Macaca mulatta: one gene and its partners. The protein of the gene in region 3 purifies or fractionates together with the protein of the main gene of each other region. This does not show direct contact. Links are inferred from orthologs where the notes say so. Each region holds a gene or a part of one and is shown on either strand. Other genes may lie near its edges. The genes, in order: NAT14, ABHD12 and SLC39A12.

Region 1 (3,689 bases), on a different chromosome or scaffold from region 3:
CAGGGCCTGCCCTCCATCCAGATTGTCCAGACTCTACCCGCAGTCCAGCTGGTGCACACGTTTTGAGGAGAGCCAGTGATTCCCCTCCCGCCCCACACAGAGACCCCGACTCACTGCCAGCCGGGGCGGGGCGGGGCGGGGTGCTGCAGGCTGGCCTTGCCTAATAAAGACCCGAGTCTCCCCGCCTGTGTTCTGTTTTCCTGAGGGGAGCGGAGGGGGAAAGTCATGGTCCTAGCCCCCGCCTGGGAGCGTGGAGTCTTAACTCGTGCGTCCTGGGTCAGCGTCCTGGGGCCAGCCACTACGTGGGGCTCAGTTCCCCTGTCCTGAAACCAAAAGACGCAGGGGTCATTACAGTGGGGAGGTGGTGGCATCTGACTCCAGGGAGCGCCACTTGTTCACTGTAGGTCGCCCTGCTGCACCCCTCCTCTGAGAAATAGGGGGATCCTTATGCGGGAGGGCCCTGCGAGCCCGGGCGCCCCGTGGGGGGAACGGGGTCCCTGGGGATGGGGGGGTGGGGCGCCGCTGGGCTGGGGGATGCTGAGCGCGGCACCCATGAGAATCCACCCGCGGGCATCGCTGCCCCGCGCTCAGGTTGCTCAGCAACGAGGGAACGTGGGGCGGGAGCTCGCGCTGGTCCCCAGCCCGCCGCCCGTCTCCTGCCGGCGCCCGCTGCCCTTTTTCCCCAGGTCCCCTTTCCCCGTTGCTCCTTCTCTAGGGATAGGAGAGGTCACCTCCCGGCCCGCCGCAGGGTCACTGCTCCCCGCCCGCCCTCCCGGGAGCTTAGCAACGGTTGCTACGACCCGCAGCGGGCAACGCCCCGCCCCCAGCGCGCGCGGTCTGACGTCACTTCCGCCGACGACCCCCTCCAGACCCGCTCCCGAAACCCTGTCAAAGGACCAAAGGCGACCCGTGCAGGTGCTTGCGGGTCCTTGTTCTTGTGGCGCGGGACGGGGACGACTGTGGGGGAGGGGGCGCTGGGGACCGGGGCGGAGCGAGCGTGGTCCGTTCTCCGGCATGTGGGGAGGGGGCTCGTGGCCCCGTGCCTGGGAGGGAGCCCCGTGCTGCAAAGTGTGGGCGTCCACAGCGTGTTTAGGAGTGTAGATCGCTGAGTAATACGGGGGAGGGGGGTCCTGGAGACTAGCAAGGTCGCTGAGTATTGTGGGGGGCGCCTGTCCTGCCCAGAGCCTCGCTTGTAGGTCCCGAGGGCTCTCATTGTCCTGATCGGGGAAGTGCTGCTGCTGCTGCTCCCCACCCCTCGGGGGGCTTTGGGGACAGAGGTGCCCCCCTGGCGCTGACCTGCTTGTGTTCTCACCAGGTGCACGACGCCAGCTCCCTTCTTGGGGGCGGGGGCCTGGGGGCTGCCATGGCCCCCAGCCACCTGTCAGTGCGGGAGATGAGGGAGGATGAGAAGCCCCTGGTGCTGGAGATGCTGAAGGTGAGAGGCAGGGGCCCCAGGGGGCCTAGGAGTGGCTGGAAGCGGGGGCATTGCAAGTGGATTCAGCCACCCCCTCCCACCCACCTGAGCCAGCCTGAACCCCCGGAGCGGGATCTTTTCTTCCCGGTCCTCAGCCGCCCTGGGGGCCGGGAAGGTGTTCAGCAGCTGGAGGTGCTGCTGAAAGCTGCAGCAGGTGTGGCAGCCGGGGGCTCACCCCCCAGCCCTACTGGGACCGCAGCACTAACGCCCTCCCTAGTCTCGCATCTCCAGGGGGCCCGGCACTCCAGCGCAACAGCCAGCTCTGTGCCTCCGACCCCAGCTCTTCAAAGCATAGCCAGCCCCCCAGTCTAGCCTAGCAGCCCCCCTCCAGCCTCCACTCCAGCCTGAGGCAGGCTCCCTGTCCCTACTTCCCTGGCGCCTCACTGCGGCATTGCTACTGAATTGAGTGCCCCCACAGCTCCTGATTCATTCTTCCATCCATCATTCACTCTCGTTCATTCACTCCACACCCAGCGTGCCACACTGGTGACCATCGGACTGTGCTGCTTTCCCTTCCCATTTGGGAGCCCTCGCCCCACCCCGGGCAGGGTCTACCTCTCTCTAGGAGGCCCTAGTGTTTTGGATGGCTGAGCCACCCCTCCTGCCCACAGGCCGGCGTGAAGGACACGGAAAACCGCGTGGCCCTCCATGCCTTGACACGGCCGCCGGCCCTGCTCCTCCTGGCGGCGGCCAGCAGCGGCCTGCGCTTTGTCCTGGCCTCCTTCGCCCTGGCCCTCCTCCTGCCGGTGTTCCTGGCTGTGACTGCGGTGAAGCTGGGCCTGCGGGCCCGATGGGGCTCACTGCCTCCACCGGGTGGCCTGGGGGGGCCCTGGGTGGCCGTGCGGGGCTCCGGTGACGTGTGTGGGGTCCTGGCCCTGGCCCCTGGCACGAACGCAGGGGACGGGGCCCGGGTCACCCGCCTGTCTGTCTCTCGCTGGCACCGCCGCCGGGGCGTGGGCAGGAGGCTGCTGGCCTTCGCGGAGGCCCGGGCTCGGGCCTGGGCTGGGGGCATGGGGGAGCCCCGGGCCCGGCTCGTGGTCCCCGTGGCTGTGGCTGCCTGGGGAGTGGCGGGGATGCTGGAGGGCTGCGGCTACCAGGCCGAGGGGGGCTGGGGCTGCCTGGGCTACACGCTGGTGAGGGAATTCAGCAAAGACCTGTGAGGCTACAGGCTGACAGCCAGGGCAGGGAAGGAGGGAGGGGCGCCAGCACCTGCAGAGCGCCTACTGTGTGCAGGTGCTTTTACGTGCTCTCCCTCGGTGAGTCCTCAGCCACCCAGGGCCCAGAAACAGAGGCCTGCCGAGGGAGGAGCCTGGCCTGTGCCCGGCAGTCGGCAGTGTGAGGTCTGGAGTGTTTGAGCTTCTAAGAGTGAAATGACTCCTTTTCCTTCCTGGCCCTCAGGGGCCTCTCGAGGTCAGCCTCTCCAAAACCCCTACCTCAGCTCTGTCTGCACTGAGAAATCTCCCCGGTGGATGTCTGCAAAGTCTGTGCCCCAAGCCTGGGAGAGCTATCTGGGGAGGGGGAGAGGAGGCCCAGCACAATATGCCCTCGAGTTAGGGTTTGCGACTCCGCCTCCCTGGGACCCAGATTGGGTCAGATGCCTGTGCTTGGAGGGGACAAGGTTGACTGCTTAGCGGGCGCGGCGCACAGGGCTGCCAGGCCTGGCCCCTCTCCGGGAAGGTCGGTCGAGAGCTGAGATGGGCAGCCCTGTCCCTTCCCCCAGACCCATGTGGTTTTTTCCACCGTTTGTTAATAAAGCCTGGAACCGCTGTGTGCCTGTCTCATCTTTGATGCCTTTCCCAGTCTGTCTCCGGACACCCCCCGCCCATTTCTGTCTGGCTCCTCCTTTCCCCAGTTAACGTTAATTGTTGGGGGGCGGTGCTGGACTGGGAGAAGGGGAGGCTGTGAGCTCAGGGGCAGCCCTGGGCCCTGCCAGCCCTTCTGAGTCACGCTCCCTATTACCGAATTTTTTCCACCTCACAGCTGCCTGGTGCGCAGGGAGTGGGGTGTGTGTGAGTGTGTGGAGGAGTGTGTGGAGCCCCTCCCCTTCCCAAGCCTTGACCCTTGTGCTGCTTATCCCCCGACCCCAGCTCCCTCTGGGACGGTGAAGTTCAAACTCTCCTCTCTCAGCTGGGGACTGCGGGCTTCACACTCAGATCCACCAGTGACGGGGAGGACTGGAGGGACGGGTCTTTCAGTCTCTTTTCCTAACCCAGGA
Region 2 (3,647 bases), on a different chromosome or scaffold from region 3:
CTGGGGAGGGTCGAAATTAATCACTTTTCTGTAAAGCTTCTTCAAATTCATTCTGGATAACAGTGACAAGAATCTTTAAAAAAAATTTAATGGCCAACTTCTTATTTTCTAGATTTTAAGCTTCAGCATCTCATCTAACTTCTGTCTCTGATCCGTTCAAGAGGATCACATTTTGGGGTGGATCTAGTCACTATGATCATCACTCCCACACGGTTATAAACTTGAGGGATAGGACGGCACATTTTGAAGGTGCTGGGAGCAGATGTGCTTCCAGTAGCCAGCCCACCCCAAACCTGGGTTCCTGACAAAGAGCCAGGGAACTCCTAGCCAGCAGAGAAACCCATTCCTGGGCCTCTTCTCTCAGCAGACAGGCGATGGCCAGGCATGGCCAGGTATGGCCCCCAGGCTTCACGCTAGGCCTTGAGGCCCTCCTTTCAGGAAGCTGGTGGGAGGGTTTGATGAAGTGATGGTGGGGGCAGTTGGTGAGCTGGGCCCGCTGCTACCTGAGGGCCCACTGTCATTGTGACTGCCTAGGGCATGAGAGTAGGCAGCAGCCACACCCACCAACACACAGCAACACACAGCGTGGCACCGCCTTGAGACTTGCCACTAGCATCACTAAACAAAACCTTTTCTGGTAACTGATAATATATGCAAATGTTGTTAGTACTTCCAGCCTACGTCTTACCACCATAAACACCCTCCTGCAATAGGACAGACTCATATTAACCAAGAAGAGGGCTGACCAAGTCCCACTCAGCAGCTCTGTGCAAAACAGGTCACGCTTCAGACAGAAACCCAGAGTCCCACAGTCACACGTTGGTCAGTAAATGCTAGATTAAATCAAATCAGGAAGTGACAAAAGACTTTAATCCTAGCACCAACTACTAAGAACAAAAATCTCTCTTCTTGTTTTATGTTCTTTACCAAGGACCACTGTTAGAAATGCCTGAATGTTCTCTCATCCACACTGGGAAGCTACTCACAGCATTTCATTTAGAAGCTTCTCACATACACAGTGGTTTTCTGAGACAGCGGAAAGGGACGTTATGGCTACTGAAAAATAAATTCAGCTAGATAAAGGGGCTGTGATTCAGGATCACTTCTCAGAGAAAAAGGGAAATGCCACAGTGAGGTTGGTCGATTTTAATTCAGTTGTTCAGAAGCACCATTTATGTACAGAAGAAAACATTAAAATGTATTCCAAGGAGACACAGAGAAGTCACGAGGCTTATGTCCAACGTAAATTTATGGCTTAAAAAAGTAAATACTTAGAAGATAGCCAACACCATCACCGAAGCTATATGTGAAAAGAAATCAAGCTGTTTTCACTTCTTGGAAAAGATATATATATATATATATTTTTTTTTTTTTTTTTGGAGACAGAGTCTCCCTCTGTTGCCCAGGCTGGAGTGCAGTGGCACAATCTCGGCTCACTGCAGCCTCTGCCTCCTGCGTTCAAGCAATTCTCTTGCCTCAAACTCCCGGGTAGCTGGGACTACAGGTGCGTGCCACCACGCCCGGCTAATTTTTGTACTTTTTTTCAGCAGAGACGGGGTTTCGCCATGTTGTTTAGGCTAGTCTCGAACTCCTGATCTCAAGTGATCCCCCTGTCTCGGCCTGCCAAAGCGCTGGGATTACAGGCGTGAGCTACCGCGCTTGGATGGAAGATATATTCAAAAGAGTGTTTGCGATTCTTCCCTTATATTCTTTTTTTTTTTTTTTGAGACAGAGTCTTGCTCTGTCACTCAGGCTGGAGTGCAGTGGTGTGAATTCAGCTCACTGCAACTTCTTCCTCCTGGGCTCAAGTGATTCTCCTGCCTCAGCCTCCCAAGTAGCTGGGATTACAGGCGTGCACCACCATGTCTGGCTAATTTTTGTATTTTTAGTAGAGACAGGTTCACCATGTTGCCCAGGCTGGTCTCAAACTCCTGGACTCAAATGATCCACCCGCCTCGGCCTCCCAAAGTGCTGAGATTACAAGTGTGAGCCACTGTGCCGGCCACTTACATCCTGTTTATAGCTTCTTTGTTTGTTTTTCCTAGAAACAAGGTTCTCTAAAAATAATAATCTGTTCACAAAGCCTTTGCTGTTTTGAAAGCCTGGGAATAGAGTTTAAAGTCACTGAATCCCTCAACACTAGGATCAAATGTACTGAGATCTTTCCTTTAGGAAAGGAAGAGGTGAAGATAAAAATGAACAACATTTCAGAGGCCAGTGTCAAAGACAGCACCAGCTCACCCATGTAGGGCCTTTTCCTGCTGCTGGAAGGGCTACAGAGCTTACCAGTACTTACCAGACTCCAATGGTCACATCTTCCTCTGGCTGCAGGTAGTAGTTACATGTGTGATTCAAACCTTGATCCTGTGGTTTTTTCAAATCAATGAAATAGGGAACCCTTACTGTAGGAAATAAAGAGATGGAAATTAGGATTACTGGTGGATTAATACACACACGTACACACAGACATGCATACAAGCATGCACACTCACACACATGCACACATATGCATCCACACGTACACACACACATGCACACCCACATGCACACACTGCAGAAGCTCTCAGAAAGCACCAAGTCCTTTTCCTGTGCAATCTTACAATGGTGCCAGACCTGCAGGCCCAGCCTCAGGCAGGGTATGGGCTGAGGCCAGCATGGGCAGGGACAGATACTGCAGTGAGGGCGAGGTCTGTGTAGAGACTGGAACGCTAAGGTCTAAGGTCACTCAAGGTGTGAGAAGATGCAAGTAAGGGAAGGAAAGATCCCCAACAGGTCTTAAGGATGGGCCAGCCAGGAGGGAGGCTAGGGAGGCTGAGCCTGCGAATAACTCAGGTGCCTAGTGGAGTGGGACATACACAGCAGGAAAGGGGATGGCGCTAAAGGATCTGATGAGCGTAGGGTGGCAAACAAGGTAAAGGGGATTCCAAAGTTTCTAGGACTGTTGCCTAACACAGAAAAGACAGCAGAAGGTGAGGTGTGGGGGCAGCAAGAGGGATGAATCCACAGGACCCATGCAGAGCAGAGTGAAGTCAGTGCAATGGCCCAGCAGAAGTCCTACATTGACCAGGTCATCTGCCAGCAGGACAGCAAGTGAATTAACCAGCACTCCACACTGTGGAAGACCATGAGGCCCTTAGACCTGGAGGAACCTCCAGGACCTGCGGGCAGAGAGGAGCAAGGTGACTGTGGGTGCAGGTGCGGTAGCCCCACTTTGCTATTGTAAAAACATGCCAATGAAACACAACCCCCACATGTGGCTGGGAGGAAATACAGAAAGACAGAAGCCAGGCTGCTCATATAGCTTCAAAGTGTGTGTGTGGGGAGAATGGGGGCAATTTTTTCCTTATATACCATTATAGTCTTATTGCTTTTGGTGAACACAACTTTAAAATAAGTTTAACTGAAAAATAAAAAATTTAAAATAAACCCATGAACCCTGAGGTGGGATTTTTCTGCTTTATAAAATGGCAACTCCCAAAAGAGGCAGTGACAGAGAGCAGTGCGGGCCTGGCTTCCCTCTGGCGGGTCCTGCCCCTGGGGAAGCTCTGCTGCTGACAGCTGTCTCTGGTGAAGACAGGGGTTGCATGACTCCCACGTCCGCGTGGCACACTGCACATCTAGCCTCACTTCCTCAAATGTCACCAGGC
Region 3 (3,647 bases):
TCATGAGCGTGCTACTCCTTGCATTGTAGACATAGACACTCTTCTTACTACCTACCCAGCCCCATCAAACAACCTGAGCAGCACTTGAAAGTATAACATAAACTCATTCCATGCTCTGGTTGTACCATATCCTTGTTCTTATTGATGTTAGGCTTGGACCAATCTCTTAGCCACCTAACTGACCTCTATTCCCATCAAATAGGAGGGAGAGAAAATTACTGGTTGAGGGGTTGCCCATCAAGTACGTCAATGGGTCCACAGCCTGTGTTCTCCATGGCACAAAAGGAAGGAATAAAAGAATGGGTCCTGCTCTTGGAAGAGCAGGAATTGTGACTAACAGTGCTCTCCACCATTAGCTGTGTAGCTTTGGGCAAGTTTCTTACCACTTTAGTCTTGGTTTTCACATATTCTATGGGTAAACTTTTCTCATGAAGAAAGATGTAACTCATATGTTCCTTGCAATATCCTTGCATACTGTACACAAATGTATGCATTAATTCGTTGTGCATTAAATAATTGAGTAATTGGTCTTCTAGTTGCTTTATATTATAAAAATCAAATATTTAGAAATATTTGGTGGCTTATTACATAGGCCGGAGACATTTTGTTTCTCACACTTAAAATAATAAAATAGGTTTCTTATTACTAAAAAATTCATTACTTTGGGCATTTTTCAGAACCAATGAGATTATACAGCAAGGCATAACTGAATGTAAAAGGTACTCTGCACATTGCTGGGCACATGGCTACCAGCAAATTGTAGTTAATGGTACCAATAGTTTAGTTTCAGGAGGTTATTTGGTACAGAGAATAGCTTTATTCCACTTTTATTTCAATGGATTCGCCTTTTGGGTCTTGGTGTCAGCCTTGCCATCAGCTACCAAGGTGTGGACTTTTCTTCTGGGTTACTTAGGGAACAGAAAATGGATGCCGAGGTTTTAGAAGTGGAGCCTAATATCCACATTGAGAGTTGGTCTTAGTGGAACCCCTGGGTCCCCTCTGTTTGAGTACTTGACCCCCTGCAGTTGGGTTCAGGAGGGATTAAAGTCTATGTGGTTTTATGAAGAATGTGATTATGCTTTGATTTGGAGATGGATGACATTTGTTTCTTCCTGACTCAGATGATTACATAGCAGATGCTACACAGTGGGTTGTACAGCAGACCTGAAATTAGAACCCCCAAAACTTCCACTTCAAAGAAGACTAGATTAAAATATATTGTAGTACAATATCCCCACCATGGCACAAATCTGTCTGGGAGTCAGGACAGGCGTTTCTCAATGCTTTCACTCTGTGGCTGTGTCCTGGGGCTGCTTCTCAGATCCTGTGAGAATTCTCAGGAGTTCCCCAACTGTCTCTGAAGAAAGGCAGCTTCCCTCTTGCTGAGAAAGCTTCTGGCCACGATTCCTGTGTCTTTTTCTCACTGTCCCACAACACTTATCCAAATCCCTTATGCCACATAAACTTCTCAGATTGCAGGAGCTGGGCATGTGCTTGTGGTTTGTGAAACCAATAAGGCAGCACAGTGCAGGGGAGGAAAGACTTTTCCTCTAACGTCTTAAATTCTGTAGCTGGGGCTTGTGAACTAAATGGACAAAAGATGGATTAACAGGAGAAAAAGCACACACATTTTATTTGATGTTAATATTTTTATGTGGAATAGGGGCATCATAAAGAAAGTGAAAACTCCAAAGAAGTGGTTAGACCCAGGGGGTTATAAATCATTTAAACAAAGAGTAATAAATTGTGGGGATCTGACAAGAGTAAGAAAAAAAGTGAATTTGGACTAGAGATGGTAAATTGTGGGAAAGTGACTAGGAAATATATATGTGAAACCAAATTTTTTTTTTTTTTTTTTAACAATTATACCAATGGAGGATTATTTTAGCAAGGTTCGTTTGTATAGGTTCATCTCAGCATTAACTCCCCATCTCCAGTGATAAGAACGTTCTCCTCTTCCTGATACAGCAAGGATACCTTTCTCATGGGAAACTTATGCCCCGCTTTTAGATAGTAAGGGGCAGGGCAGAGAATCCTTCCCATGCCTGCTGTTTCTCAGTTGCCTTCAGCTCAAAATAATCAATATGCTATGGTGGCATATTTTGGGGCAGTATGTTCTGATTCCCTTCAACAAAATCATTTTTGGCAATTTCCCTAAATAGGCTAGAAGAGGGGCAGATGGAAGTCGTTTGTAAAATTTTTACACCTCTTAAGTGCCAGATATCGTGCTATATGCTGAGGATAGACCTATGCAAAAAGCAGACAAAATCTACTCTTTATGGACCACTGGTTCTCATAGAGAAGAGAGAGAATAAACAAGTAAACAAAGCAATTTTACAATACGAGTGCTATGAAGAAAAATTTTTAAATGGTGTATTCCAGAATTGTGCTGTCCAGCACAGTAATCACTAGCCTGCATGTAACTGTTGGGCGCTTGATTCGTGGCTCATCCAAACTGAGATGTGCTAGTAAGCATAAAATGCACACCAGTTTTCAAAGACTGTTCAAGAAGAAAAATATAAAATATCTTTAATTTTAAAAATTTAGATTACACGGTGAAATAATTTAATCTTGGTACATAAGGTTAAAATATTACAAAAGTTACTTTTAGCTGTTTCTTTTTACTTTTTAAAATCTTGCTGCTAAAGAACTTCAAATGACATATGTGACTCATATTTGCGGTGTGACTTGTATTTCTATCAGATAGTTCTGTACTAGGGAACGCAGGTTGGGAATCTTTAGGAAGGTGTTGTGAGAGGGTGACATTTTAGCCTGAAACCTGAAGAATGAGGGGAACAAGGAGACCTGGAAGATTGTGGGAAAGAACTTGGTGAAATTGACATAAAATCACAGGGGCAGAAGTTAAGTGAGGTGCTGGACTAAGGCTAAGAGAAGGAAGGGTAGAGTAGACAGGAGCCAGAACAAAAAGAAGATTGCCAGGAGTTTGGATTTTGTTCTAAAAGCAAATGGGCATCACTTTAAAAGCCAAAGAATAATCTGTTTTACACAGGCAACAGGTCAACAACTTGTGGCCACCCTAGTTGGAGTCAGGAATTACTCTTAGTGGAAAAAGAGGGTTCCATGGAAGGGCATCATTGTTATATGGGAGTCCAACTCTTTGAATCTGGCTATTGATCCTGCCTGCTTTTCCTTTCTATTTATAAAATGATAAGTAGCAAAGACCCTGGTGGTCATTAGTGTTCTGGAACTATTTGCTAAGTTTTGTTTCTCTTGTTGCTGTCATTGTTTTCTTCCACAGTGCTTTGAACCAGATGCACTATTACTAATAGCTGGAGGAAATTTTGAAGATCAGCTTAGAGAAGAAGTAGTCCAGAGAGTTTCTCTTCTCCTTCTCTATTACATTATTCACCAGGAAGAGATCTGTTCTTCAAAGCTCAACATGAGTAATAAAGAGTATAAATTTTACCTACACAGCCTACTGAGCCTCAGGCAGGATGAAGACTCCTCTTTCCTTTCACAGAATGAGACAGAAGATATCTTGGCTTTCACCAGGCAGTACTTTGACACTTCTCAAAGCCAGGTAAGAAGGCAAAATGGCTAACTGGTTCTGCTACTGAGATACAGTCCTAGAGCCTTATTGTTTGTTCCTTATTTATTTCAAAGACATTCAAGAACTTCTAAGGGAG

What was found.
Region 1: the proteins of SLC39A12 (region 3) and NAT14 purify together in Homo sapiens (co-immunoprecipitation; 3 studies listed by BioGRID and IntAct, counting the BioPlex papers as one, with this or other methods). This does not show direct contact. The link is inferred for Macaca mulatta from reciprocal best matches to the Homo sapiens genes SLC39A12 and NAT14.
Region 2: the proteins of SLC39A12 (region 3) and ABHD12 purify together in Homo sapiens (co-immunoprecipitation; 3 studies listed by BioGRID and IntAct, counting the BioPlex papers as one, with this or other methods). This does not show direct contact. The link is inferred for Macaca mulatta from reciprocal best matches to the Homo sapiens genes SLC39A12 and ABHD12.

The regions. Positions count from the first base shown.
Region 1 is NC_133424.1:67,829,471-67,833,159, forward strand, and holds NAT14 (putative N-acetyltransferase 14), read left to right. Parts: upstream 1-845; 5' UTR 846-915; intron 916-1,315; 5' UTR 1,316-1,363; coding exon 1,364-1,435; intron 1,436-2,085; coding exon 2,086-2,634; 3' UTR 2,635-3,242; downstream 3,243-3,689. Other genes in the region: ZNF628 (zinc finger protein 628), read left to right, coding at 1-66. UniProt on the Homo sapiens protein: Probable acetyltransferase. May act as a transcription factor that regulates the expression of coproporphyrinogen oxidase by binding to a promoter regulatory element.
Region 2 is NC_133415.1:58,819,604-58,823,250, reverse strand, and holds part of ABHD12 (lysophosphatidylserine lipase ABHD12), read right to left. Parts: intron 2,403-3,647; coding exon 2,297-2,402; intron 1-2,296.
Region 3 is NC_133414.1:19,526,967-19,530,613, forward strand, and holds part of SLC39A12 (zinc transporter ZIP12), read left to right. Parts: intron 1-3,259; coding exon 3,260-3,541; intron 3,542-3,647. UniProt on the Homo sapiens protein: Uniporter that promotes Zn(2+) import from the extracellular space to the cytoplasm across the cell membrane. The transport activity is temperature dependent. May play a role in neurulation and neurite extension.